Linked DNA regions of Callithrix jacchus. The protein of the gene in region 3 purifies or fractionates together with the protein of the main gene of each other region. This does not show direct contact. Links are inferred from orthologs where the notes say so. Each region holds a gene or a part of one and is shown on either strand. Other genes may lie near its edges.

Region 1 (3,968 bases), on a different chromosome or scaffold from region 3:
TGAGCTGAGATCGCACCACTGCACTCCAGCCTGGGCAACAAGACTGAGACTGGGGGCGGGGGGCGGGGGGCGGGTGACTGACTGAACTTATTAATTCAATGCAAACACAACCATACCCATATATTTTGAGTGTCTGGAGATATATTCAAGCCATGAAAAGTGAAACTCCAGCTAAGCACTCCTGCCAAGATGCTTAAATGTTATCAACTTACTGAACAATGACAACTTGCGTCAAATACAAACTCCCATACTCCCTCAGGGTAGAAAAGTAGAACTGCTCTATTTCAATCCTTTTAAATCAATATCCCATTACCAATTGATAACACTTCACCACTGGTATATGTTCCGATGAAATCTACAACCTACACTTCATTTGCTGTTCATATAAAATTTTCCATTTTTGCAATTGTAACCTTTCAGTGTGTAAAAGCAAAGAGAAAATATTAAAAGCTGTGAAACACATCAAGAGGAAGATTAACTTTAGCTTCAATGGCATGAGGCAAACTAAAAACTTAAAGCCACATAAAACTAAGTATTCCATATTACTACAAATAGGTTTAAATGCTCTATACTGGAAATTACCCTTAAATTTATCTATTTAACAACTGCTTTTTATTCAAAAGAAAACTAAGTTTCAGCTTTTGTAACTACTTGTATGTTGCAACCAACTCAGAGCTTTTATAAGTCCTTCTATGAAATGCACTGAGAAAAAGTATACTTGAAACACTTATGTCACAACTCTTTGTGTCCCAAAAAGCCACCAAATTCACCAAGCAGTGTCACATTCAGCACTGCAGTTCTTACTACTTTGTATATCAAGGACACCTACCATAGGTTTCCCTTCATTTCTGTTTAATTGCCTAAACAGCTCAAAGATGCAGGTAATGAGTAATTTACTTGGTGGTACAATTCAGAAACTTAAAAGTCCTAACCGAGTATAGGCAATCAAGGTAAAAAAATGAAATTAGAAAGTAATTTAAACTGACAAATTATTAAAATAGGTTTAAGAGATCCATCACTGAACTCTGCCTTGAAGTAAGCAAACCAGTCAACCTTACCCCTTCTCCCCTCACCATAAAGCAGCTAGAGACATTGACCAAAACTAACCATGTTTTCTATAAGCAACACTAAGTTATCATTACACTTTCTCATCGGTGAGCAACTCCTAATTGAACAGAATCATGCAGGATTAAAACATTATTAAATCAGTACACACATCACACTGGAATGGAATTCATCTTTGCACTGCGCCACGGTGCCTGGATTGAAAAACGTGAACTATATTTAAAGAACAGAGAAAACGACACTTGACAGAAACCAAACAATGACCTGAAATGACTCTAAGGGAGATTGTTTTCCCTTCTCAAAGTAATCTATACAGACAAGAATCAAACTACAGTCTGTGAAATAATCTGGGGACCTCACAGCAGTTAGCTTCTAACTTGCTCAAACACACACCCTACAATCTCTACAAGTCAAACACACGATGACACAAATACAAAAACACAACACATCTAACATCCAATCATTATTTATTGATTTACACATATACAGTGGGTGTAGGGAGGAGGGGATGCATTATGAAATGTTATTCTCAGGTACGCAATACCTTTCTAAATCTCCGTGGAATTCATGAATTCAACGTTTTACCCTCACCGTCTAGTTTTTGACTAAAAGACCAAGTCTTTTCAATCAAAGCTGTCCAAAATTCTACTATCGAGCAAGTAACATGAAATTAGAAACATTCAATACTAGACTTTCCTCCAGAAGCCCTGACAACTCTCTAGACATCAGGCCTATGAAGAGTAAATTAAAGCCCATTAAAAATATTCAGCTTAACACAAATCTTCCAAGAAGTGACACTTTTGTGGGTGATGGGTAATGTCAGTGAACTTCCTCTTCCTTTAAAAAGGTCAAAGACAGGGAAGCGTCCAGCGTCACATTTCCTCAGATCTCGTTCTACCACAAACCACATCACAACTCTCCCATTTCTAAAAAAAATTATCCAGAGGGGCTGCTTTCTGTACATTTTCACCTTACACTGAAAATCCAACTTACCTCGGAAACGAGCTGATTAGTTTTAAACAAGAAATTCACCGATAAAGTTTATTATGTACTAATAGTAATTAGGAAAGCCCACTGCGCCCCACTGTAGGGGGCGCCGAGGGGAGGTGAGGAGTAGGAGGGTGTAATCCTCACAATAATCAGAGAAAAGCCTTCCCTGCAGGGTTGGTCCCAGGCACCAAGCAAATTCTGCCCAATAAAGGGAGGGAGGGTACCTTAGGGAAGGAGGAGGGGTGAAGGGTCCCCCAGCTCTAAAAGGAAGGGGCTGCAGAAGCATGGACAAGTGGAGCTAGCTTTCACAGTACTACATAAGGTCTGAGGTTCCCTCTGCAGTGCTGCCGCCAGGCACCCCAAAAGCTCCGGCCAAGCCCAATGCAGGAGGGGCTTGAGCGGCAGCCCCCTTCCTGGCTGGGCTGTGGCGGTCCGCAGGAAGGTCCCCTGGGCTGCGGGGTCCCCCTGGGCTGCGACGACGACAACCGAAGGGCCGACAGGAAGGTGAAAAGGATACTGTTGGGGCGCCTGGGTCTGGAGGGCCCTGATGTTCGGGTGAGGAGGGGGGGCCGCCGCCGCCGCCGCCGCTGCTGCTGCCGCCGCCGCCGGGTGAGGAGGCGGTACCACTGCTGCCGCCGCCGCCGCCGCCGCTCCGGTGCCGGGTCCGGTTCCTGCTGCAGTCGCTGTGCCTGATTTCAGAGCCGGTTTCTGCGGTAAACTCATGGCAAAGCGAAGCCACCAACCCCCCCAGAGCAGGACCGGGCGCGCCGGGGTGCAGGGGCCAGGGACAGCGGGGGGGCGGGATGGGGGCAGACCCGGGGAGGCGGCGGGAGCTGGGGGCTGGGGGGAGCCTGGGAGGAGGAGGAGGAGGGGGCCGGGGCCGGTCACACACGCCCGACGCCGCCGCCGCCGCCGCCGCCGCCTCCGCCGCCGCCGCCGCCGGCAGCAGCAGCCGCCCCGCGGGCCAGCACCACCGGCTGCCGGTCTCCGTGACAACGCGACCCCAGGGGGGGGGCCGGACCCGGCGGGGGCAGGAGGCGGAGAGACCGGACCTTTCACGGCAATATCCTCATGGGCCGGCAGCGGGGGATCTTTATCCCCCTCCCCGGGGGAAGCGGCACCCTTCTCGGTAGCGGGGCTCAGGCGATGCCGGCGGATTTTCTTCACTCAACGAGCAGAGCATCCAACATGGCGCTGCGGCCGCCTCCAGCAGTCCGGCAGGACGGCCGCTCGGAAAACTTCGTGCTTTTTCGGAATAGCTCGGGAGGCCGATGGTGGGAAGCCTCTTCGGTTCTTTCCGGAGACTGAGAGGGGTCGGGGTTCTTCGGAGACACTCGGGTGCGCCTTCGGCCTCCGTTCGGGAGCGCTCAGTGGCTAACTCGCTTCCTCGGCAAAGATCGGCGACGGGGCTTCTCGGGCTTGCTACCGCGCGGGTGCGGGGCAGAGGCAGAGACCAAAGGCGAGGTCTGGCCTGCGAGAGTCCTTTCCTACCGCCCAGCCTCGAAAAACAATGGTAATGGCCCCTGGTAATGGAGCCTGCTGTTTGCTGGATCCTGCCTGCAGGGACGGAAAAGCAGTGGTGAGGCGAGAAACCCCGGTTACTGGGGAAGGAACCGCTTAACCGGAATGGAACCTGCTGGGTAGGGACCCGCTGCCGGGACTTCGCATAACCAATGCTACCCTCCTGCCCTTAACCACGCATTTCACACCCATTGTGTCGACACTTCTTCCTCAGACGCTCTGAGAGGTGAATGGAATGAGGAGACCCATTTCCATAGGACACTGAGAGGAAAAGTGACTGGCCCAAGGTCACCCTGCAGGGGAAAGGACAGTGCCCAAATCTAAATGCCACCTTCGTCCGGATGAACCTTGCCACCTCCCAAGTTGGCTGGGGACATGATCTGAGCCGCCAT
Region 2 (4,222 bases), on a different chromosome or scaffold from region 3:
TTCTTTGGATTGACATGCTGCCAAAAAAAAAAAAAAGTTATCCATAAGATGCAAATATTCAATCAGAAGACATCTAAACCACAGCTTCACATATAAAATAAACTTTTTTCACACAGTGACCTACTTTAAAAAAAGAATGGAAATATCTCCAAATCTGGAGGTTTTGGGTTTGATTTACAATACATCTGCTCTGTCTTCTCAGGAAGGTGACTTAGTGATATTATAGAACTGATCACAGAAGTAAGTATATGGCTTTTGTTTTGACAACCACCACAAAAGCACTCACCAGATCTGTTTCCGGATTCTCACATTCAGGACAGAGAACAAATTTTTTAATGAATCCATCCAACATGTCTTGCAGCTTATTCGCCTCATGAGATCCATTGACAATGTAACGGTCATTCTTAACATCAAACTGGGTCTGTGCTCCCAGCTCACAACCAAAATATTTGGTGGGATCTATTTGAATGAAAGAAGAGTTTAGATCATTATACAGTCACCTAACTCAACCACCACTTTTTTTCTCCTGAGATGAAGTCTTACTCTGCCACCCAGGCTCCAGTGCAATGGTGTGGTCTCAGGACAATCTGTGCTCCCCAGGTTGAAGCAATTCAACCACCTCAGCCTCATGAGTAGCTGGGACTACAGGGGCATGCCATCACACCTGACTAATTTTAGTATTTTTAGTAGGGACGGGGTTTCACTTTGTTGGCCAGGCTGGTCTCCAACTGCTGACCTCACGGCCCACCCGCCTTGGCCTCCCAAAGTGCTGGGATTGCACTCCTGAGCCACCACTCTTTTTAAATTATTGGGTTAAAGAAACGTGTTCTCCTGGTAGTTTCGTAAACTCAGGGCAACCAATAAATCAGGGTTCCTCAGTTAACTTGTAAGCTAATCAACTAGCATACAATTAGAACAAGTTTCGCAGCTCAAAGACTTTGAAGACTCTCCATAATGTGCTCTCTTTTTACTTTCCAAGCTCTACTTACACGTTGGAGGCCGATTAAGCGCCTTGGCAACGTCAACCATGTTGACTATAACTGTCTTGATTCCATTTCCTTTGCCCTCAACCTAAAGGAAATAAAAAATTTTAATTCTGCAGTTTCCCCTGACAGATGGAATCTTCAAAATTCTGCAAAAAGAGCTATCAACGAAAATGAGGAGCAGCATACACTACCTTGGCAATCAGACGGGGCATCTTGTAGCGATAGAACTGGTCTGACACGCTGCGGTTGACGTTGACAGACATTTTGGCTTATTATTAGTGGCTTTATCAATAAGATGAAGAGATCTTTGATTGCAACTTTTTGGTATCTTCTGTCTGGAGAAGAAGGGATGACATAAACGACTGCAAGAGTTCTCGGTCTCTGACATGAAAAAATTTTCGCCACTGAGGCTGTAAGCTTCTTGCTTGTATGCTATGTTTCCCCAATACAGGTACCAATGGCTGCGCAACAGCTCTGAAAGAGAAGAGACAGAAAACACAACCCCACGCCCGGGTTAGCATCACCGCCTCCTTTCACACTCCGGCTAGTTATGCTTCCGCTTAATTCTACCTGAAGCGGCACCTGAGATCCCATGCAAATAGCCCCTCTCCTCTAACACAGGACACCTGCGGGAACTTCAAAGGCCCGGATTCCAACCAGGCTGCGACTCCGGCAGGGAAAGGCCCGGTAGGAAAACAGGCCGCGCCGTGTCAGCCGCCGCGGGCTCCCGTCAGACCGAGGGCCATGAGCAGGTCAAGCGCTCGCCTCTGCGGCCATCCAGTAAGTGCTAGGAACGAGCCCGAGCCCTCGCCGCCTCCACCGCGGCCTGGGTCAGCGACCCGCCCAGGCACAGCCCCGTCCGCCGTCATTTCTAAGGGGAAACTGGGAACCATCCTCCACCCCTAATGGTCGCTTCGGCCACCACGGCCCGCTTCAGAGCAGCACTTCCGGAAACGCAGCGCCCGGCCCGGCCTCCCTGTTCCGGGCGATTCCAACACTCGGTTAACCTTCGCCCCGGTCCCCATGGCTACCGCGCGACCCGGGCGTCTGGCCCCATCCCCAGCGCGTCCCCGGAGGGCGCGCAGCCGGGAAGCCACACCGGGCCCAGGGGCGCCGGGACTACGGCCGCCCCCGCCCAGAGCGCGCGATGACTCACAAATGCAGCAGCTGAGACCTGAGTCAGCCCGAGCGGCGGGCACGCGCGGCGCGCTCCCGCGAGGCCGGGGAAGGGGCGAGGCCGGCCCGGGGAGCGCGCGGGGAGGGGGAGGGGGCGGCCGGGGCCCGGGCCCGCCCGCCGCCCCCCCCAAACTGCGCCACACGCCGCGGCGGGGTCACGCGGCGGCCGCCGCCATCTTGTGCGGCCGCCATCTCCCGGCCCGCCGCGCCCGCGACTCACCGTTTTCGTCAAATAAAGACATAAACCCAACGCTGCTCGCCCGGGACTGGGATGAAGTGAGGCGCGATAGAAACCCGAGTCCGAGTCCGAGGAGGCGGAGGCGGAGCGCAGCGAGGAGCGGCCGGGCCAGGTGCCGCCGCCGAGCAGCGGGGAGGGGCTGTCCCAGCGACGTCCGCGGTCCACACCCGTCAGCGCCGGAGCCTGGCGACCTGGCGCGGAGAGACGGCGCCGTGAGCCGCGGGCGGGTCGGGGGGTGCGCCTTCCCGGCCAGCCAGCAGCCCGCGGGGTCGGGGGTGCGGGGAGAACCGGGCAGGGGGCGCGGGGCCGCCGACCCTCCACCGGACTCACCTCTGGAATGTTCTCGCTCTGACTGAACAACGCCGCCGCCGAGCTCAAGCTACCCTCGGCCCCAGCGCCCGCCCCCCGCGTGAGGCCTCACTGTCCATTGGCTGGAGGCCTGCCATAGCTCGCTCGTCATTGGTTCGCTTGCGGCGTCAATCGCGCCGTTCCGCACCCCTTCTGCTTCCTGAGGCTCCACTCGTGGCCTCGGCCCGCCTCCAGCCCCGATCCCCGCTTCCTTCCTCTCCCCTCCCGTTTCCCAGAGGCCTTAGCGGCGCAACCTTAGGTTGTCGCGAGAGCCGGAAAGGCCCTGGCTGCAGGGCCGGGCCGCGGGGGATAGTGCTTTGTCAATTTGGGCGCTGCGGGGAAGATGGCGGTTGGTTTCCCTCCACGCCGGGTCTGGGCCAGGCCGCGGCGTCGCGGCGACTCCCGGGTCCCAGGACCATCGCCCTCGAAACCGCTCTCGAGGCCGTGCTTCTGTGGCCGACACTTTGGGGGGGAGGAAACCCGACCGCGTTCTCCCAGCTGCGGGCGCTCGTCTGTTTTCCGGTCCCCCCCCCCCCCCGGGGACGCAAGTCTCTGGGCCTCGAGGACTGAGTTGTTTTTCCATCCTGAGCCCCAGGCCTGGGTTATTTATTCCCAGGGCTGTCTTCTGTGTCGGACCCGGGTGGAGTGGCCGCCGGCGGAATGAGCCCGAGCCTCGCCAGTGACCGCCCGTGGCGGTCGTGAGGCTGCCCCGCCGCCTGGGTGCCAGCCCGCACCCGGCCTCCGCGCTTAGCTTATAAGGCTCATCGCGTCGCTTCCCGTTTTCGGAAGAGGCAGCCCTTAATTGGTTTGGAATCCTGGGGCCTCCTGTAGGCGCTTGGTGGTGGGGTCTCGCCTTCTGGTGAAGGCTTACCCCCTCCCAGGCTTGAAAAGCGCTGTCCGTCCTTCCTGCTTCCCTGTACCCTCCAGTTAATGACTTGTGAATTCCTTGACAGGGAAATCGTAGCCCTGGGCAGGAGTTTTATAATGAGATTCCAATGTATTCCATTGAAAATTACTGTTTACGCGATGGTCGCGGTGGCTCACGCCTGTAATCCCAGCACTTTTGGAGGCCGAGGTGGGCGGATCACCTGAGGTCAGGAGTTCGAGATCAGCCTGGCCAACATGGTGAAACCCATTCTTTACTATAAATACAAAAAATTAGCTGGCATGGTGGCGGGCCTGTAATCCCAGCTACTTGTGAGGTTGATGCAGGAGAAGCCTTGGACCCGGGTGGCAGAGGTTGTAGTGAGCCGAGATCACACCACTGCACTTCAGCCTGGACGACAGAGGGAGAGACTGTCTCAAAAAAAAAAAAAAAAAATTTAGAAAGAGGCTCTCATATTTTCTGTTGAAACATTCTTTCTGAAACTTGGATTTGTGTGTGTGTGAAAACTTGAGACTTAAAAACGCATCCATAGTCCACCCTGAAGTTTGAAGACATAACTTGGCCGCAGTAGAGTGAGAGCCCCTCTAA
Region 3 (3,500 bases):
GAAAGGAGACTGTCGAACCCCATGCTCTGATGACTGGAAAGAGCACCAGGGGTCCAGCATGGCCCTACTGCACTTCTGCCTGCCCACCCCCAGGGCTGTGACTGGCATAATGGGGAGGGGTGCTACGGGCCAGGAGCTTGGGGCAGGGCTATGAAATGGCACTGTGGCCCTGCGGAAGCCTGACCAGAAAGGCTGTTAACAATCTGACAGGCACCAACGCCCACTGAGAAGCACCAAACCACCCAGACACGGCCGGTCGCTTGCCCATCAACGTCCACTGCCTCATGACCAAACCTGAACTTACTTGTCAAAATCCGTGAAAAGGTTAACCCGGAACGTGTGCTGCTTGTCCAGTTTATAGCCGTCAGCGTTCTTCACAGCATCCATAGCATGGGCAGGGGACGCATACTCCAGGAAAATATACCTGAGTGAAAGAGGGCCGTTCATACACACGCACACCATAAGGCTGGGCAGGTATGCACTGTCTACCCCACCCCTCTCCATGGACAAGCCCTCTGTACCAGGAGTTATCTGTGCTGTTCTTCCTGCCTTGAGCCTAAGGCAGTCACACAGAGGACAGACCCACAGCCAAGGAGCTCCCTAAATGAGAGGGAAACCTAACCAGAAGATTCAAGTCTCTAGTTTTATGATTATAAATTATAGAAAAGCTAATCAAAACATCCATGACTGTGGCAATGGTTTCATTAAGTGTAGACATCAAAATCTATTAAACTGTATACTTTAAAACTATGCAGATTTATTATGTATCGATTATCTCAATAAAGCTGTTTTTTAAAAGAACTTGTGGCCAGCGCTGTGGCTCATGTTTGGGAGGCTGAGGTGGGCAGATCACTTGAGCTCAGGAGATCCAGACCAGACTGGGCAACACGGCAAAACTCCCTCTCTACTAAAAAATACAAAAATTAGCCAGGCGTGATGGCACGTGCCTGTAAGCCCAGCTACTTGGGAGGCTAGGGCAGGAGAATTACTTGAACCTGGGAGGCAGAGATTGCAGTAAGCTGATATCACACCACTGAGCTCCAGCCTGGGCAACAGAGTGAGACTCTGTTTCAAAAATAAACAAAATCTTAAAAATAGCCTAATATTGTGTATTATAGGCAACATTACAAAGGACCTCAGAGCACTTTTCATTGTAACATGAGTAACCGAGGGTCAAGAGGCTACCCTTCAACTGACTGCCCAACATAAAAACACTGTAGCATTACCTACATTTGATAATTTTTCTAGAAACTAAAACTATTCTAGTTAGTTTTTACTTTACGTCATTTATTTGAGAGACAGAGTTTTGTTCTGTCACTCAAGCTGGAGTGCAGCTACATAATCATAGCTCACTGCAGCCTCAAACTCCTGGCCTTAGTCTTTAAGAGTGTTGGGAGTTTAGGTGTAAGCCACCATGCTGGCCTATTCTAGGTAATTTTAAAACTTTTTATTTATTTATTTATTTATTTATTTTTAAAAGACGGGGGTTTCACCATGTTGGTCAGGCTGGTCTTGAACTCCCGATCTCAGGTGATCCGCCTTCCTTGGCTTCCAAAGTGCTTGGATTACAGGCGTGAGCCACCATGCCTGGCCAATTTTAAAAACTTTAAAACCTTAACTTAAAAAAACAAACTTTATCATCTTCTCATTCACTGCTTTCGAGAGCTTCCCGCTGAGGGCAGCCTAAAAAAGAGAATGGCCCACGTGCCTGGGCGAGGCAACAGTTCAACACTCCTTCATCACGACGTGCCAGACACAGATGAGACTTCTCTCACAGGCGAACACTCACCCTTTTGTCTTCCCATCCTCTTCAGGATAAAAATCATTTGTGATTTTCCCAAACTTGGAAAAGATCTTGTGGATGACATTTTTGAGTTTCTCAAGTCGGTCAGGTCCCACCTGAGGGACATTGTCCACTACAATCACCGAATCGATTCCATCTGCTTCCTGGGGTCGATCTTTGAGTACATCTCCTAGTAATTCTGCGAAACAGAGATTTGTCAAATGACCACTTTTACCAGGAAAAACATTAACACATTAAGCACACTGAACAAATATCCAGAAAGTGACAATGAATCATCTAAATGCTGTTGCTGTGAGCAAAAGAAACCCCAACCCTAGCTTGTTTCAGAATTTAAATGTGAGAAGTAGGGAGACTGGGACTCCTCTCTCTCCCTTTGATGGAAATGTCAACAGTCAAGGTATGTCAGTTAAGTTCTGGCAATAACCAAAGACCAGAAGACAGTTAACAATAAAAAGCTTTTAACAATGCAAAATGCAAATGAAGAAGAAAATCTAAAGAATATCCAATATTAGATCTTTCAGAGATCCCTAGATTTTGAAAGGTTTCTAGCAACATCTAGGCAGAACCCTATCCCAATGTCAATGAAAACTGACTTTTACAGAAGATTTTAGCAAACAAGTAAATATTTAAATGCTCGATATATTCGCAGCACATTTGTGCTGTGAATTCAAACTACTAGAAATTATTCAAGGAGGAAAACTTCTCTTGAGTGAATTGGGATGAAAATAGTAACTCTTCTCCCACCTCCTGTTCCCAGTTATTTTCATGTTTTCAGGCAGAGAACTGGATAGCCATTCACAAGGGGATCAGGAAAAAAAACAAACAGGGAAGGCACCTGGGTGAACTTCCCGACCGGCCCACCACCAGGCACCTTCGTCCAAAACCCCTTATCCAACATTCCCTATGTTAAAAATCTCGAAGGATCAACACAGGAGATAGGGATGGAGCAAAGTGTTTTTCCTACTCACATGCCACTCAACACATTTCTGACACCAGATGTGGGTCCATATCAAGCAGTTCTCCAGGGGCTACCAGCTGGGTGTCCTCCAACTTAACCCAATTCAGACACTATCTACCAGGAATTAGCATCAGATCCCACAGGCTGAAGGTTCAGTCCCAAAGAAGGGTCCCCATTTCAGATGGCAATTGTAAGTAGTGGGCTGTCATCTCCAGTTCTGACCGAAAGCCTCCAAAGCAGGGTTCCCACTATTCCCCACTTCTTGGGTTGCTACAACAGCTTACAGAATTCAGGGAGCTAGGTTTGCCAGCTTATTATAACAGAAGTTATAGAGAACACAAAGAAGTAGATGGAAGAAAAGCGAAGGGGCTCCCTGTGCTTTCTAGGCATGCCACCCCGAAGGAGCCTCCACCTGTTCAGCTATGTGGTGCCCCCTGAACCCAGTCCTTCTGGCTTTCATTACACAGGTGTGATTACTGACATCACTGAGCACTAGTGATCAACTCGACTTTCAGCCCTCTTCCTTCTGAGGAGCAGAGGGACACCTAAAAGTCAATTAAATGTCCTGAAAGCCTGATCTGAATTTACAAGGCTTGCAATAAAAGGCTCAGCTTTTACACAAACTGTATACTCCTTTCCCACAAGCTCAAAGCATCTAGACTAGAAGAACCTGCCCACACCTAGGAAGGAAATATATGAAGTAACTACACCATGAAGACACATCGCCTTGATCACTCT
Region 4 (2,157 bases), on a different chromosome or scaffold from region 3:
GAGAAAAAGGCCAGCCTTAGAGCCTTTCTTAGGTGTCCTTTCTGACGCCTGCTCCCTTCCCTAGTCACACCTAAAACTGAAGTGGGTGGACGAGCGAGGTGGCTCAAGCCACCTTGTAATCCCAGCACTTTGGGAGGCCCGAGGCAGGTGGATCACGAGGTCAAGAAATCGACCCCATCCTGGTCAACATGGTGAAACCCCGTCTCTACTAAAAATACAAAAAATTAGCTGGGCACGGTGGTGCATGCCTATAATCCCAGCTACTCGGGAGGCTGAGGCAGAATTGCCTGAACCCAGGAGGCGGAGGTTGCAGCAAGCCAAGATTGCGCCATTGCACTCCAGCCTGGGTAAAAAGAGCAAAACTCTGTCTCAAAAAAAAAAAAAAGTGAAGTGGGTGCCAAAAAAAAAAAAAAAAAAAGTCAAGATAGCAATCCAAAATTTGGTTCTTCTAGCACTTGCTATTTTTCTTCTAGAAAATAATCACTGCTGGGTGTGGCGGTTCATGCCTGTAAGCCTAGCACTTTAGGAGGCCAAGGCGGGCAAATACCTGAGCAGTCAGAAGTCTGAGATCAGCCTGACCAACATGGTGAAACCCTCTCTACTAAAAATACAAAAAATCAGCTGGGCAGAGCTACCACAGCACTCCAGCCTGGCCAACAAGAGCCAAACTCTGTCCTTAACTATTTTTTTTTTTCAGCTATTCAAGCAAGACTGCCCTCACCTGGGTGTTGCTGTTGAGCTTTTGGAAGATGTCATAGATCTGGTCCTTGAATCCACGGCTTAACATTTCATCAGCTTCGTCCAGTACAAACATTTTGATGTATTTGGGAGCTAGAGAATAAAAAAAGCCAATATACAGCATATAATTAGGTAAATGTGTGATATATGTACCCAACTTTCCTGATAACAGAGGGACCAAGTAGTCTGCTCTCAGAATACAAAGACTGATCCTTTGCCGAGGACTTTCCTGCCTGGCCAGACATCAGCCCTGGCAAGTAGAACACTGCCTGGGCTGCACTGCCAGGAAAGCCAGACTCAGATGACACGCATGGGCCTCATCACAGAGCAACTCTTCCCATAAGGGAAATGAGCATCCTCAGGAATGACTTTGGCTTAAGCTGAAAGACGCGGAAAGCATGCATGAGAGGAAGTGACCTAGGGGACTGTTGAACTCAATTACTTACACAGGTACCTCCGGTTAAGCATATCGAACACACGGCCAGGGGTTCCCACGATGATATGGGGAGCTTCCATCTGCAGTTTCTGCACCTCAGCACGAACATTGGTGCCCCCAATACAGGCGTGACAGGAGGCACCCATGTAGTCTCCTAGTGCCATAACCACCTTCTGTATCTGAGCCCGGAGAAAAACAGGTGCTCATATATTAGCTCCAACTGTGCCAGGCACCACCATTCAATGTTTTTCACATACTTATTCCTAACCAACCACCCTGGGGGGTGTGCACTATTAGTAAACTCACATTCAGCTGAGAAACTGGCAGAGGTTAAAATCCTTAAGATCGTGCTGTCAATAGGTGGCAAGACAGGATTTCAACTCAGTCTGGTTCCTGAGTATACAGTGAGTCACAATAAAGCCGCTCAGATAATTCAGTGTCTTATTCTAGACATTCAGAACCCTTAACTTTCTGAAAGCTAATTTGACTAACAGTTTTGCTCGTCATCCAGGTTGGTGTGCAATTTGGAGTGCAACGGCACACAACCTTGGCTCACTGCAATCTCTGCCTCCCAGCTTCAAGTGATTCTCCTGCTTCAGCCTCCCAAGTAGCTGGGATAACCACTGCCTGCCAACATCACCATGCCTGGCCAATTTTTATATTTTTTTAGTAGAGATGGTGTTTCACTATGTTGGCCAGGCTGGTCTAACTCCTGACCTCAAGTGATCTGCCTGCCTCAGCCTCCCAAAGTGTTTGGATTATAGGAGTGAGACACCGTGCCCAGCCAGCAACCGGTTTTATAAAACAGTTGAGCACATCCATGTTCTATTGCACTCCTGCCATAGGACGCAAGCTACAAGGCATATTCACTCAGAAAAACTGAGTCCCAAATGCCTTAGAACAAGAGCTCTGCTGTAACTTTACATTATTCACACCCAGAATAGTCACTGCATCTGCCACAGAACGTTTAATGCCCTGAGCCT
Region 5 (3,500 bases), on a different chromosome or scaffold from region 3:
CACACACACACACACACACACACACTCCACATATTCTAGGCTAAGTCTAAAAAACTCATATAAGGAAACCATTCTTTTAAAACCCTCATCAGTGCCTGTAGTTGCAGCTAGCTGGGAGGCTAAGGCACGAGGATATCGCTTAAACCCAAGAGGGTCTGAGCAGCCTTGAACTCCCAGGCTCAAGCTGATATTGTATTTCTGTATCTTTTGTTTAGATCCTCCAAGAAGTTGAGGCTGCAGGGAACGGAGATCACAACACTGCACCACAGGCCTGGGCAACCAGAGTGAGACCTTGTCTTAAAAAAAAAAAAACAACAACAAAAAAAAGAAAAAAGCTTAGTGCCGTGGCAGTATGGCAAATGAGGGTTATGTGAGGTATGATTATTGCTAACTAAAAATTAAGAAATGAAAAAAGCCAGGACAATGGCTTCCCACTTGGAAAGTACTCCAACAGTCTACAAAGCACCATCCCCTTCTCCAACCTCATCTACACAGCCTCCTTCCTCAGGCCACTCGGGCATACTGCAGCTGTCCCTTAAACTTACTGACCTTACTCCTCTTCAGGGACTTCGCTCAGGAAGCGCCTGGCACTTCCCCTGCCTGGAAGGCTCTTCCCCCAGATATTTAGTGAGCTATTTTTTTTTTTTTTTAGATGGAGTCTTGCTCCGTTGTCAGGCTAGAGTGCAGTGGCACGATTTCGGCTCACCACAACCTCTGCCTCCCAGGTTCAAGCAATTCTCCTGCCTCAGCCTCTCCAGTAGCTGGGACTACAGGCGTGTGCCATTCCACCCAGCTAACTTTTATATTTTTAGTAGAGACAGGGTTTCAACATGTTGGCCAGGATGTTCTTGATCTCTTAACCTTATGATCGGCTCACCTCAGCCTCCCAAAGTGCTGCGATTCCAGGCGTGAGCCACTGTACCTGGCTTTTGGTGAGCTATTAAGAACTCTCCCCACCAGTTGGATGGCTTTAAGTCAGAAGAGTTTGAGACTAGCCTGGCCAGCATGGCAAAATACCATCTCTACTAAAAATAGCAAGCCAGGCATGGTGGCGGATGCTTATAATCCCAGCTACTCAGGAGGCTGAGGCAGGAGAATCACTTCAACCTGGGAGGTAGGGATTATAGCGAGCCGAGATCACACTGCAGCACTCTAGCCTGGACGACAGAGCAAAACTCTGCAAAACAAAACAAAAAAACCCCCCCAAGAAACAGAACTCCCTCGCTTCCTTGAAGTCTTAGCTTAAACTTCACTTTCTCTACATGTTTTTGCTTAATTGTAGCATCTACTGTTTATCTTTTTTTTTTTTGGTAAATACAGACAAACTCTTACTATGTTGCCCCAGGCTGGTCCCAAGCTCCTGGGCTCAAGTGATCCTCCCGCCTTGGTCTTCCCTAAAGAACTAGTTACTACAGGCATGAGCCACTGCGCCTGGCCAATCTCCTGCGTTTTTTTTTTTTTTTAAATAGTAGAATGGCAGCACCGCAGGGGCAGGAATCTTTGATTTTGTTCCCCAATGTATTTCATGTGCCCAGAGTAGCAAATGAAAGATAGTGAACACCTAACACGAGATGCAAACCGAGGGCACAGGCGTACCTTATCAATGTAGAAGTCAACCTCTGAGGCTGACTGAAATTCACCATCCAGGGCTGAGATACCGCTGGTCCATACCAGGTTCTTCATCTTGTGTTTGAATACAAGCAGCTGGATCCGGAACTCCTGCTCTGTGAGATCCAGGAAGCCAGCCAGCTTGGCCACAGGCATGGTGGTGTAGAGCTTGAGGAAGCTGCGGATGGTTGAAAGCTGGGCCTGCTGCTGTACCTCATCAGCAAACACCTTCAGCTGCTGCAGGAAGGGCTCTTTGTGGTAGTTGGGGTGCACATTATCATAGTTGGGCACTACTGGCGATAGAAACTTGGGGCAGGAGTAACTGAAAAGTTCTTCATAGACTTGTGGGTCACCTTTCTGCATGCGCAGCATCTTGTCCCCGTATTTCTCCCGCAGTTGGAGGTGAATGCTCTCATCGATACGCATGGGGTACATGGTGAGGGCAATGGCCAGCAGCGCATGCATCTGCTCATTCTGCTTGTTAATCTGGGGATGAAGTGGAGAGTGGTAATGGGTCAAGTGAGACGGACTTCTTAAGGTCCCCAATGCCAATGTGGCCTCACCGGCCTCTGCACAGATCTTTGATTTACTCAGCTGTCTCATATCAGCCACTAAACTTCCCCAACATCTCTTCCAGTCTTATTTCTAGATCTACTGAACTTCCATCCTAGCTCCAAATCCTCCTTAGCCATCTTCTGGATTCCTTACTAGTACCTCTTAGTGTCTCCAGTTTGCCCCACACATCACTAGCAGGTCAGTCCTTTTACACCAGTTAGGATCAAGTTACCCAAAACGTTTGATGCAACCTTGATGCCTACATGTGCACGTGCCACGCAACAACGTTTTAGTCAACCACGGGCCAAGGGCCACATATAGGATGCTGACCCTACAAGATCATAATGCCGTACTTTTATTGTATCTTTTCTGTTTACATACACAAATATAAGTCCCAGCTACTCAGGAGGCTGAGGCTGGATCATCACTTGAACCCAGGAGGTGGAGGTTACAGTGAGCTGAGATCACGCCACTGTGCTCCAGCCTGAGCAACAGAAAGAGAATTCGTCTCAAAAATATATGTATCACTTTGGGAAAAAAAAAAAGAAAAATTATCTGGTGTGGTTGTATGTGGCTGTAGCCCCAGCTACTTGGAGGGCCGAGGTAGGAGGATCACCTGATCCCAGGAGGTTGAGGCTGAAGTGAGCTGTGACTGCGCCACTGCACTCCAGGTGGGTGATCCATTGGTAGGCACAATCGTATAGAGTGCTCTACAGCCTTAACTCCTGGCTTAATTAAAACTGTATTTTGGATGGTCTTTACCAAGAATGGTTGGCATAGATGCCAAGGAGTCAGCCGAGTAGAAAGGCCACTAGTGGCAGGCAGAGTGCCCCTTACCATCTCATACTTATATGTGGTCCTCTGGAACATGCTCTTGGTCCTCTGGATATAGAGGAGGATGTTGGCAAAGACCCGGATGGCATCCTGGTAGCGACGCATCATCAAATATGCAAATCCAACATAATAGTACGTGGTGACCTGGCACTCTGGAACACGGGAATACATACTCTGCAGAAGGAGATGGAACAAACATCCATGAGTGCCAATTCATCCTGGACAGAACCAGAGGCAGAAACACCAAGAGAAAAGCTTTCCCCGCAGAGGCCCTGAACTACCCAGAGGAAGCTCTGGAGTCCCAGAGTTTGAGAATGGATCTTCCTATTCACAAATTAAGTTGTATGTTTTGAGGAATCCATTTTCTTAGCTGTAACAAGAAGGTTCTGGATGAGGAATCCATAAAATCTCTTTGAGCTCTAAAATGCTATACCTCTCAGTTTTGTTGTTTTTCCTTGCTTTTTCAAGTAAGTCCTATAAAGGAACAGACAGTTAAGACAGAA
Region 6 (4,217 bases), on a different chromosome or scaffold from region 3:
AAAAGAGGCTCCTGCCTGTAATCTCAGCAGTTTGGGAGGCTGAGTTGGGAGGATTACATCAGCATGGGAGTTCCTGACCTAGGCAACATGGCAAAACCCTGTCTGTATGAAAAATACAAACATTAGCTGGGCGTAGTGGTGTGTGCCTGCAGTCCCAGGTACTCGGGAGGCTGAGTTGGGAGGATCACCTGAGGCTGGAAGGTCAAGGCTGCAGTGAGCCAAGATCTTGCCACTGCATTCCAGCCTGGGTGACAGAGTGACATCTTCCTGTCTCAAAAAAAAAAAAAAAAAGAAAAGAAAAGAAAAAAAAGACAAAACAAATGCTGATTGAAGGAATTAGTAGTACCAGCCTTCACACCACATAGACATGTAAAATGCAGACGTGAGCTCAACATTGCACATTAAGTTAACATTATTTTCTCTCTTCTAAATAATGACTTACATTTTCTCCACTAGTCTAGCCTGGTAACTTTAGTAAGACCTGTAAGAAAGATTTTGTGTTTAACTCAGGTAGGACAGCAAGAAAGATGGAGCGTGGAGAAAGAAAATCAGAGGAAATATTAACCGGGCGCAATGGCTCGTGCCTGTAATCCCAGTACTTTGGGAGGCCGAGGTGCGAGGATCATTTGAGCCCAAGGATTCCATACCAGCCTGGGCAACATAGCGAGACCCTGTGTCTATTTAAAAAAGAAAGAAAGAAAAAGAAATATTAGAGCAGGTTCTCATTATTTTTACCTAGGAAAAGAGACAATTTTTGATAAAGACTTCACATCAGATCTATGCATTACTGGAAATGAGCCGTGGGTTGAGAGACAGATTCTGTATTTAAAATGTCAAACCTGTAAAGTAGGTATATAATTATCCTCATTTTACAGATAAGGAAACTGAAGCTCTGAACGGTTATTGACTTTTCCAAGGCCACAGAACTAATAAACAACAAAGCCAAAAGGTCTGCCGTTCCACACCGGCCCCAAGATTTCCCCATCTATACGACTCACCACCAAACGCCGACCAGACGCTTCTATCCTGCTCAAATTCAGACCAACCTACTCACCATGCGCATGCTCACTTTCAAAACGAAAAAGTTATTGAGAACCAATGCGCATGTTCCATAAAAGGAGAGTTTTGTTGTGTATTTTTTTTTTCCTATTCAGAAAGATTAATTACGCATGTTCAATTTCAATTTACGAACTTCAGATGTGGTACGCATGCTCACTGTTCACCGAACGCTTTAGCTGACAATGCGCATGCTCTGATCTCCAGGAGCAGCTTCGGCTCGCGTTTTGCGCATGTTTCTGCCAGCACCTGGATGCTGACCATAGTTCTGCGCATGTCCATTGCCAACAGTTTGGCTTCACGGGACCATATACGCATGCTCCTGCGCTGAACTTTAGGAGCCAGTCTAGGGCCTAGGCGCAGACGCACTGAGCCTAAGCAGCCGGTGATGGCGGCAGCGGCGGTGGTAGCTGCGGCGGGTCCGGGCCCATGAGGCGACGAAGGAGGCGGGACGGCTTTTACCCAGCGCCGGACTTCCGAGACAGGGAAGCTGAGGACATGGCAGGAGTGTTTGACATAGACCTGGACCAGCCGGAGGACGCGGGCTCTGAGGATGAGCTGGAGGAGGGGGTGAGGCCCGGGGTCTCCGGGGGCCCGAGGTGACAGGGCCGGGGCGGCGGTGCGGGGTCAGGAAGCGCGGTGTGTCCTAGAGCGTGGAGACCCGGGGGGGCTCCTGGAAGAGCTGAAGGTCGCGCGGCCCGAGACTGAGGAGCGGGTGGGACGGACATGGCTCTAGGTGTGAGGCCTTTGCAGGAATCGCAGGTGCAGGTCGCACCCTTAGCTCTAGGTCAGCGCAGCCCTGAGCAGTCTGAAGGGGGAAAGAGAAGGGGCGCGTGCTCGATACCTCGAGCTGCTGGACTTGAGTGTGGCGGGGCGCGGGTGGCGTGAGCGTATGTTGGGGATACGAGGGCTGCGCTTGCTGGGAGTCCCGTAAGTACAGGTGAAGTGTGGAGGGTTTCCCTTCGAATCTAGGATTTCAGGTATTAAATCTTCAGACCTCCCACAACCACCTCTCTTCTCGGCCTGTCGCTTCTCTCCTAGGAAGCGCTCAGCTGTTAGAAGTGACAGCTGAAAACTTCTGTCGGGAGTAGCACTGCCGCTGCTGTTACAGCCACCAGGAGTTTTATTTCGGGAGCAAGGGGGCTCTGCTGCATCTTCCAATCTTCCAGGGTTTGTTTGTTTGCTTTTTTTTTTTTTTAACCCCCTTCCGTGTGACTTTTTAAAGTAAGCATTTATAGGACACACGGCACTTGTAACCTTTCCCCAAGTTGAAGATGTCTTTTTTTTCCCCCAGAATAATTAATATAATTTTCGGGTAGGGGGAAAAAAAAAAACCCAGTGTTGACAGCCCTGATTTAGCTTGCCAAAAATAAGTTGCCTGAACAAAGATTTGTGAATGGTGGCGTGAGGGCTTTCCTTGCTATAATTTAGTGTGCTAAATTTAGAATTATATTTTCTAATGCATAGCTTGGTTTTACCTTGGCTGGCTTAGTGGTTTGTTATTCTTTATGGAATATCTTTTTTTCCTGAGATAAATTTATCAAAAACTGACAAACTGGACCTGAAGTTCAAAAACGTTGTCATACTAAACTACTGATTCCAGACCAAATGATCGTCAGTTGATAACCTCTTAGTAGTTTAGGATCTAAATTCCAATGTCAAGTTGAATACATGGGTTAATGACTGGTGTTAGATGTTTACTCTAACTACATAGGGGCTTCCTTTCCCTTGCCTCACCCTCAGTTTTTCTCCTCTGACACCTGCCCTACTGTTGACAAAAGATTGAGATGGTATGTATAAAGAACCTTGAACAGATTAAGAAACTAAGTGGCCTAAAATAATACTGTTCTTTTCTTTCTTTCTCTCTTTTTTTTTGAGAGAGTCTCCCTCTGATAGCCCAGGCTGGACTGCAGTGGTACGATCTTGGCTCACTGTAGGCTCCACCTCCCGGGTTCAAGCAATTCTCCTGCCTCAGCCTCCCAGAGGAGCTGGAATTACAGGGGTGGGCCACATTGCCTTGCTAATTTTTTTGTATTGTAGTAGAGATGGGGTTTCACCGTGTTGCCCAGGCTGGTATTGAACTCCTGACATCAGGTGATCCACCCACCTCAGTCTCCCAAAGTGCTGGGATTACAGGGGTGAGCCACCCCACCACACCTTTTTTTTTTTTTTTTTTTTGTGGTGGAGTCCCACTCTGTAGCCCAAGCTGGAGTGCAGTGGCCCGATCTCGGCTCACACAACTTCCGCCTCCCGGGCTGAAGCGATTCTCGTGCCTCAGCCTCCCAAGTAGTTGGGACAGGCACACGCCACTACAGCTGGCTAATTTTTTTAATTTTAGTAGAGATGGGGTTTTACCATGTTGCCCAGGGTGGTCTTGAACTCTTGAGCTCCTGTGATCTACCCCCTTGGCCTCCCAAAGTGCTGGGATTACAGGAGTGAGCCACCTGCATGCCCAGCTGGTGTGTGCATTTTCAATGATGTTTTCATAAGGAATTCCAAATAGTTTCTTAATTGAACACAATGATACACTAAATACAATTGGAAACAAATATGAGATTACTTTTGTTACATATATTATATTCCATACTCTGATCAGTTATATTGGTTCTCTGTGGCAGTGGGTTTGGAGCAGGGCAGGGAAGAAAACTGGATAGGAAGGTGCTTTTATTTTTTTTGAGGCAGAGTCTCGTTCTGTCACCCAGGCTGGAGTGCAGTGGCACAGTCTTGGCTCACTGCAACCTCTGCCTTCTGGGTTCAAGTGATTCTTCTGCTTCAGTCTCCCGAGTAGCTGGGACTACAGGCGTGTGCTACCACGCCCGGCTGATTTTTGTATTATTAGTAGAGATGGGGTTTCACCATATTGGACAGGCTGGTCTCGAACTCCTGACCTCAGGTGATCCACCCACCTTGGACTCCCAAAGTGCTGGGATTACAGGTATGAGCCATGAGCCTGGCCAGATGTATTCTTTTTTGAAAGTACAATACTGTATTAAAATTCCTGTATGAATTGGGACTTTTTCTTTTCACTTTCTTGTTGTGTTTCAAGAACAGTAGGTGTTCCAGGGCTTTTGTCCTGCTGGGTACAAGCAAGTAGGATTTTGAGAGGGTGTAAGGAGTTCAGCAAAATTGGTAGAAATAGGAAAAAAAAAGAAATATGGCTT
Region 7 (4,293 bases), on a different chromosome or scaffold from region 3:
TTTGAATTAGTGCATCTCATATTCTGGTGACAAACTGGTTTATGTTTGTTTTTTAATTTTAATTTAATTTTTTAGAGACAGCGTCTTACTGTGTTGCCCAGGCTGGAGTGCAGTGGTACTATCATAGCTCACTGTAGCCTTTGAACTTTTGGGGTCAAGGGATTTTCCTGTTTTGGCCACCTGGGCTCAGGAGATCTTCCTGCTTTGGCCTCCCAAGGTGTTGGGATTACAGGGATGAGCCACTATGCCTGGCCTTTTTAAAAAAATTGTAATATAATACTTTTGTAAAACGATAAACATGAAGACATACATACAAAATGTAAGCCTGAATTTGATTAGTTTCAGCGGATATAAAATTGTCAAATTGCTACAGATTTTCTAAGTGTTTACTTTGCATTTCTATACTTAACCTCACTGTCAACCATGACCAGTTTGTGGACCAGCAGTAGCAGTCTGTAGATAGTCTGTGGACTGTACTTTGAGTTACTGGTTCAAACTATTATTAGTGCCCAGGGGGATTAATGATGATTACGTACTTCAAATATGGCGTGGGGAGATCTGTCTTAACCTGGAAAAAAAATTTTGGAAATTCCTATGAGTAAATAGGTGTTTTTTATGTGTATTTGGGTTGAGAATTGCTGTGAGAAATCTTGAATGTTCAAAACCGTGGAAAAGCACATCATGGTTTTGGAATTTAAGCAATGTAGATTTGAACATGGTGAGGAGAATCTAAAATTTAGTCAGATTTATTGAAAACACCACAGAATGATGTTAGACCTGGGAAATATTTGCCTCTATAAATTAGGATTGTCCCATAAGATTAATATTACACCTGTGCTAGTTTTGCAGAATGTAGTAAAAAGCTACCTGACATTCTTGGCAGCTAATTGTTAGGGTTTTCTCACCCTTGCTTGTCTTTTTTCTTCCCTTTCAACTTTCTTTTGTTGCTATGACAGTTTATTCAGCCCTGGGTTTGCTAAATTTTAATACTAAACATTTTTATTTGAAGCTGATGAACTCAGCAAATCTAAAACCAGGTTTAATACTTTGCTCTTAAATTGGTGATCTTTTGTTTTCTTGCCATTTGGATTTAATCTCTTTGACCTTCTAGTTAATGTCTTTCATTGCCCCCAAGATGAAAGGTACACTTTTAGCCTGACCTGAGGCCTTTAACAGTCTCACTCCAACCTATCATTCTAGCTCTTCCCTTTCATAAACTTTGTCTTTCAGCCACACTGGTTACTATCTGGAGGAACACAGCACCATCCATGGCCTCACTCTTACACTCTGTTCTACTCACCTAAAGTATGTTACACAATGCTTTTTCAAGGGAAGATTGTCTATTTTAGTTTAAAAATGTGTTCGATTACTTTGAGTTAGCCATAATCTGCTAAATTAGCGTTTACTTTTTTGTTCAGGTAGTTTATAAACCTAGAAATATTGGTCATTTAATTTTTTTTACTTTTTTTTTTTTTTAATTCCCCAATAGAACCTGAGGTTGGTCATTTAGGATGTATTTTCCAGTGAAATTTTCTCACTGAGAGAACACCAGCCTGAGAGAGCAGAGAGGGGAATATGGTAGGACTTTGCAGTATTTTTATTTTATTTTATTTTTGAGATGGAAGTCTTGCTCTTGTCCCCTAGGCTGGAGTGCAATGGCTTGATCTTGGCTCACTGCAACCTTTGCCTCCCGGGTTCAAGCGATTCTCCTGCCTCAGCCTCCCGAGTAGCTGGGATTACAGTTGCCTGCCACCATGCCTGGCTAATGTTTTTATTTTTAGTAGAGATGGGGTTTCAGCAGGTTCGCCACTCTGGTCTTGATCTCCTAACCTCAAGTCATCCACCCACCTCAGCCTCCCAAAGTACTGGGATTACAGGCGTGAGCAAAAGTATTGGACCTCCGAAAGTACTGGGATTACAGGTGTGAGCCACCTCGCCCAGCCGAGTTTTGTTATTAAATTGAATGTAAACTTAAAACTTTTTAAGTGTCTATAGGAAGCAACCTTAAAAATAAGATTATACATCTTAAAATAGAACTTGTTTCTGGAAGTATTTTTTAGTTCCCAAATAGATGATATGAAAAGATGGCTGTGGCCATTAAAAATTCTTATGGTATTATAGAGCATTTGTTTCATAATCAATCTATATAATTAAAAGTGAAGATTAGAGAGTTTAAATTAGTATACTTATTGATTTGTACATACACACATTTAAAAATGTATAGCTTTTTTTTGTTTAAAAATGTGTAGCTTTTTAAAGTTGTTGGAAAAGTACAAAATAATGTGTTCTTAATATGAAGACTATAGTATCAATTACTTAAAATGGGACTTCTAATTCAAAATAACACTTTTAAAATTTTAGGAACTGAATGTTTTTCCTGAGTGATTATCTACTTTTAGTTTCTGTATGTCCAAAGATTTGATTACCATGTTAGTATTCCATCATTTCCTCAAGAATGAAAAGAATGGAATAATAGAAAAGAAGAGAAAGAACTAAATTAGTTTTAAAATGATGTTTTGGACTCTATGAAACTTGTAATTAATCATATTGTAATTCACTATTTATGTGCTGCTGAGGTAAAAGGTTTAAATAAGTGTTGCAAAAGTATGGTTTATAGTGAGGATTTTGAGCTTATGAGTAAATTTAAGAGAATTTAGCTATCTACTCTCAGGTCTTTTGGATAATAAATATTTGACTACATATCTTGTTGTGTTAACATATATCTCTAACTTTTGTTTGCTGCTTCAGTAAATCTGATATCCAGACACTTGTTGCATTGCCCCTTTTTTTTTGTATCAGTCTTTGTCCTAATGCCTTTCTATGGATGTCTTGTTCTGGTGACAACAATTTATTGTAGTGTGAAGAGCTACATGGAAGAATGTGGTGAACACCTATTTTAAATTACTATTCTTCTTTTCTTACTGATATTTCTAGATGACAATGTTAATTATGCCTAGCCTAAAAGAAGATTTAAGTTCAAACCAATGTCCATCATCTTAGAGTCCATTGAAAATGTTAAGTTGCCGAACTTTTAGGTTACCATAGGGTAAACAGTATGCCATGAAGGCAAGACTGGCATATCATTGGCTTGATCACTTTACAAAGCTTATTTTGTCATCATAATATAGTTTTGTTTGTTTCTTTGACAGGGTCTTGCTGTGTTGCCCAGGCTGGTATCAAACTTCTGGGCTCAAGCAATCCTCCTATTTCAGTCTCCTGAGTAGCTGAGATTATAGGCATGCACCACAGTGCTCAGTGATAAGTTATTACACTCTTGAAACTTTAGTTTCAATCCTCTATCCATCCTGATATCACCTTCAATACCATATACAGTATCTTAATGAGATGGTATGTTAAGAAAGATAGCAGATTTTCCTAACTTTGTTGCATAATCTGTGACAGTCTTCCTGCTATTAAAAAAAAAGTATAAGTGGAAGGATAACCATAGATACTATTATATTTTCCAGTTTGAGAAACCCTTTGCTCTTAATGAAGAGATACAAGAATAGAGAATGGTTCTTTAGAGGTTGGTCTATGGTCTGTTTAATGAAGCAATCTGCTCTAATTACTTCTTCTTAAAAAATATTATCAGCATGTCAGTTCAGGTTTAATTAGAATATTCCTATCATAGGTGTGTTAAGAAATTTAAAATAATGTTTTATATTTTATACTAGGAAACCACCCCTACTCCTAATCCCCCGGCTACAGAAGAGGAAAAACCAGAATCTAATCAGGAGGTCGCTAATCCAGAACACTATATTAAACATCCTCTGCAGAACAGGTAAGCTTTCTGACACCTAGGTTTTCTGAGTTAGGCCACAGGTAAGGGAAAGTTAGATTATGAGGCTAGTTTTAGATATGCTAAGGTTGAGGGTTCTATTTTTCGCTTGGATGATCCATGACTAGCAGACAGTTTTATGTGTGAGTCTTGAGCTCAAAACAAACTAGGTGAGAGATTAGTTTGAAATTCTTCAGTATATTGGACGTAATAGAAGCCACATTATTAAGTAAGTTCCTTTAAGGAGAAGTGAACTTTACTCAGGACAAAGACCTGGGATACTAGCATCATATAGGGGGCTTTTGTTGAAGAAGAATGCCTATGAAGGATGGATATGCAAACTAAGAGTGGTGGTCGCTGGATATGGTGGCTCACACCTGTAATCCCAGCACTTTGGGAAGCCAAGGCAGGTGGATCACCTGAGGGTTGGGAGTTTGAGACGAGCTTGGCTAACATGGTGAAATGTCTTCTCTACTAAAAGTACAAAAATTAGCTGGGCATGGTGCCGGGTGCTT

Evidence for each region.
Region 1: the proteins of EIF3B (region 3) and EIF4G3 purify together in Homo sapiens (affinity purification with mass spectrometry; 3 studies listed by BioGRID and IntAct, with this or other methods). This does not show direct contact. The link is inferred for Callithrix jacchus from reciprocal best matches to the Homo sapiens genes EIF3B and EIF4G3.
Region 2: the proteins of EIF3B (region 3) and EIF5 fractionate together in Homo sapiens (co-fractionation; 3 studies listed by BioGRID and IntAct, with this or other methods). This does not show direct contact. The link is inferred for Callithrix jacchus from reciprocal best matches to the Homo sapiens genes EIF3B and EIF5.
Region 4: the proteins of EIF3B (region 3) and EIF4A1 purify together in Homo sapiens (affinity purification with mass spectrometry; 4 studies listed by BioGRID and IntAct, counting the BioPlex papers as one, with this or other methods). This does not show direct contact. The link is inferred for Callithrix jacchus from reciprocal best matches to the Homo sapiens genes EIF3B and EIF4A1.
Region 5: the proteins of EIF3B (region 3) and EIF3L purify together in Homo sapiens (affinity purification with mass spectrometry; 8 studies listed by BioGRID and IntAct, counting the BioPlex papers as one, with this or other methods). This does not show direct contact. The link is inferred for Callithrix jacchus from reciprocal best matches to the Homo sapiens genes EIF3B and EIF3L.
Region 6: the proteins of EIF3B (region 3) and RPS6KB1 purify together in Homo sapiens (affinity purification with western blotting; 3 studies listed by BioGRID and IntAct, with this or other methods). This does not show direct contact. The link is inferred for Callithrix jacchus from reciprocal best matches to the Homo sapiens genes EIF3B and RPS6KB1.
Region 7: the proteins of EIF3B (region 3) and EIF4E purify together in Homo sapiens (affinity purification with western blotting; 5 studies listed by BioGRID and IntAct, with this or other methods). This does not show direct contact. The link is inferred for Callithrix jacchus from reciprocal best matches to the Homo sapiens genes EIF3B and EIF4E.

What each region holds. Positions count from the first base shown.
Region 1 is NC_133508.1:58,037,375-58,041,342, forward strand, and holds the start of EIF4G3 (eukaryotic translation initiation factor 4 gamma 3), read right to left. Parts: upstream 2,801-3,968; 5' UTR 2,779-2,800; coding exon 2,573-2,778; intron 1-2,572. UniProt on the Homo sapiens protein: Component of the protein complex eIF4F, which is involved in the recognition of the mRNA cap, ATP-dependent unwinding of 5'-terminal secondary structure and recruitment of mRNA to the ribosome. Functional homolog of EIF4G1.
Region 2 is NC_133509.1:138,161,875-138,166,096, reverse strand, and holds the start of EIF5 (eukaryotic translation initiation factor 5), read right to left. Parts: upstream 2,801-4,222; 5' UTR 2,731-2,800; intron 2,592-2,730; exon of another isoform or gene 2,383-2,591; intron 2,141-2,382; exon of another isoform or gene 1,569-2,140; intron 1,461-1,568; 5' UTR 1,250-1,460; coding exon 1,178-1,249; intron 1,072-1,177; coding exon 990-1,071; intron 460-989; coding exon 287-459; intron 18-286; coding exon 1-17.
Region 3 is NC_133503.1:56,683,861-56,687,360, forward strand, and holds part of EIF3B (eukaryotic translation initiation factor 3 subunit B), read right to left. Parts: intron 1,983-3,500; coding exon 1,790-1,982; intron 425-1,789; coding exon 305-424; intron 1-304.
Region 4 is NC_133506.1:74,068,842-74,070,998, reverse strand, and holds part of EIF4A1 (eukaryotic initiation factor 4A-I), read right to left. Parts: intron 1,354-2,157; coding exon 1,185-1,353; intron 1,068-1,184; exon of another isoform or gene 927-1,067; intron 862-926; exon of another isoform or gene 832-861; coding exon 722-831; exon of another isoform or gene 698-721; intron 1-697. UniProt on the Homo sapiens protein: ATP-dependent RNA helicase which is a subunit of the eIF4F complex involved in cap recognition and is required for mRNA binding to ribosome.
Region 5 is NC_133502.1:208,882,722-208,886,221, reverse strand, and holds part of EIF3L (eukaryotic translation initiation factor 3 subunit L), read right to left. Parts: intron 3,172-3,500; coding exon 3,001-3,171; intron 2,095-3,000; coding exon 1,597-2,094; exon of another isoform or gene 1,108-1,596; intron 741-1,107; exon of another isoform or gene 641-740; intron 1-640. UniProt on the Homo sapiens protein: Component of the eukaryotic translation initiation factor 3 (eIF-3) complex, which is required for several steps in the initiation of protein synthesis.
Region 6 is NC_133506.1:94,475,637-94,479,853, forward strand, and holds the start of RPS6KB1 (ribosomal protein S6 kinase beta-1), read left to right. Parts: upstream 1-1,417; 5' UTR 1,418-1,485; coding exon 1,486-1,626; intron 1,627-4,217. UniProt on the Homo sapiens protein: Serine/threonine-protein kinase that acts downstream of mTOR signaling in response to growth factors and nutrients to promote cell proliferation, cell growth and cell cycle progression.
Region 7 is NC_133504.1:98,561,434-98,565,726, forward strand, and holds the start of EIF4E (eukaryotic translation initiation factor 4E), read left to right. Parts: upstream 1-1,493; 5' UTR 1,494-1,618; coding exon 1,619-1,921; intron 1,922-3,329; exon of another isoform or gene 3,330-3,345; coding exon of another isoform or gene 3,346-3,348; intron 3,349-3,674; coding exon 3,675-3,781; intron 3,782-4,293. UniProt on the Homo sapiens protein: Acts in the cytoplasm to initiate and regulate protein synthesis and is required in the nucleus for export of a subset of mRNAs from the nucleus to the cytoplasm which promotes processes such as RNA capping, processing and splicing.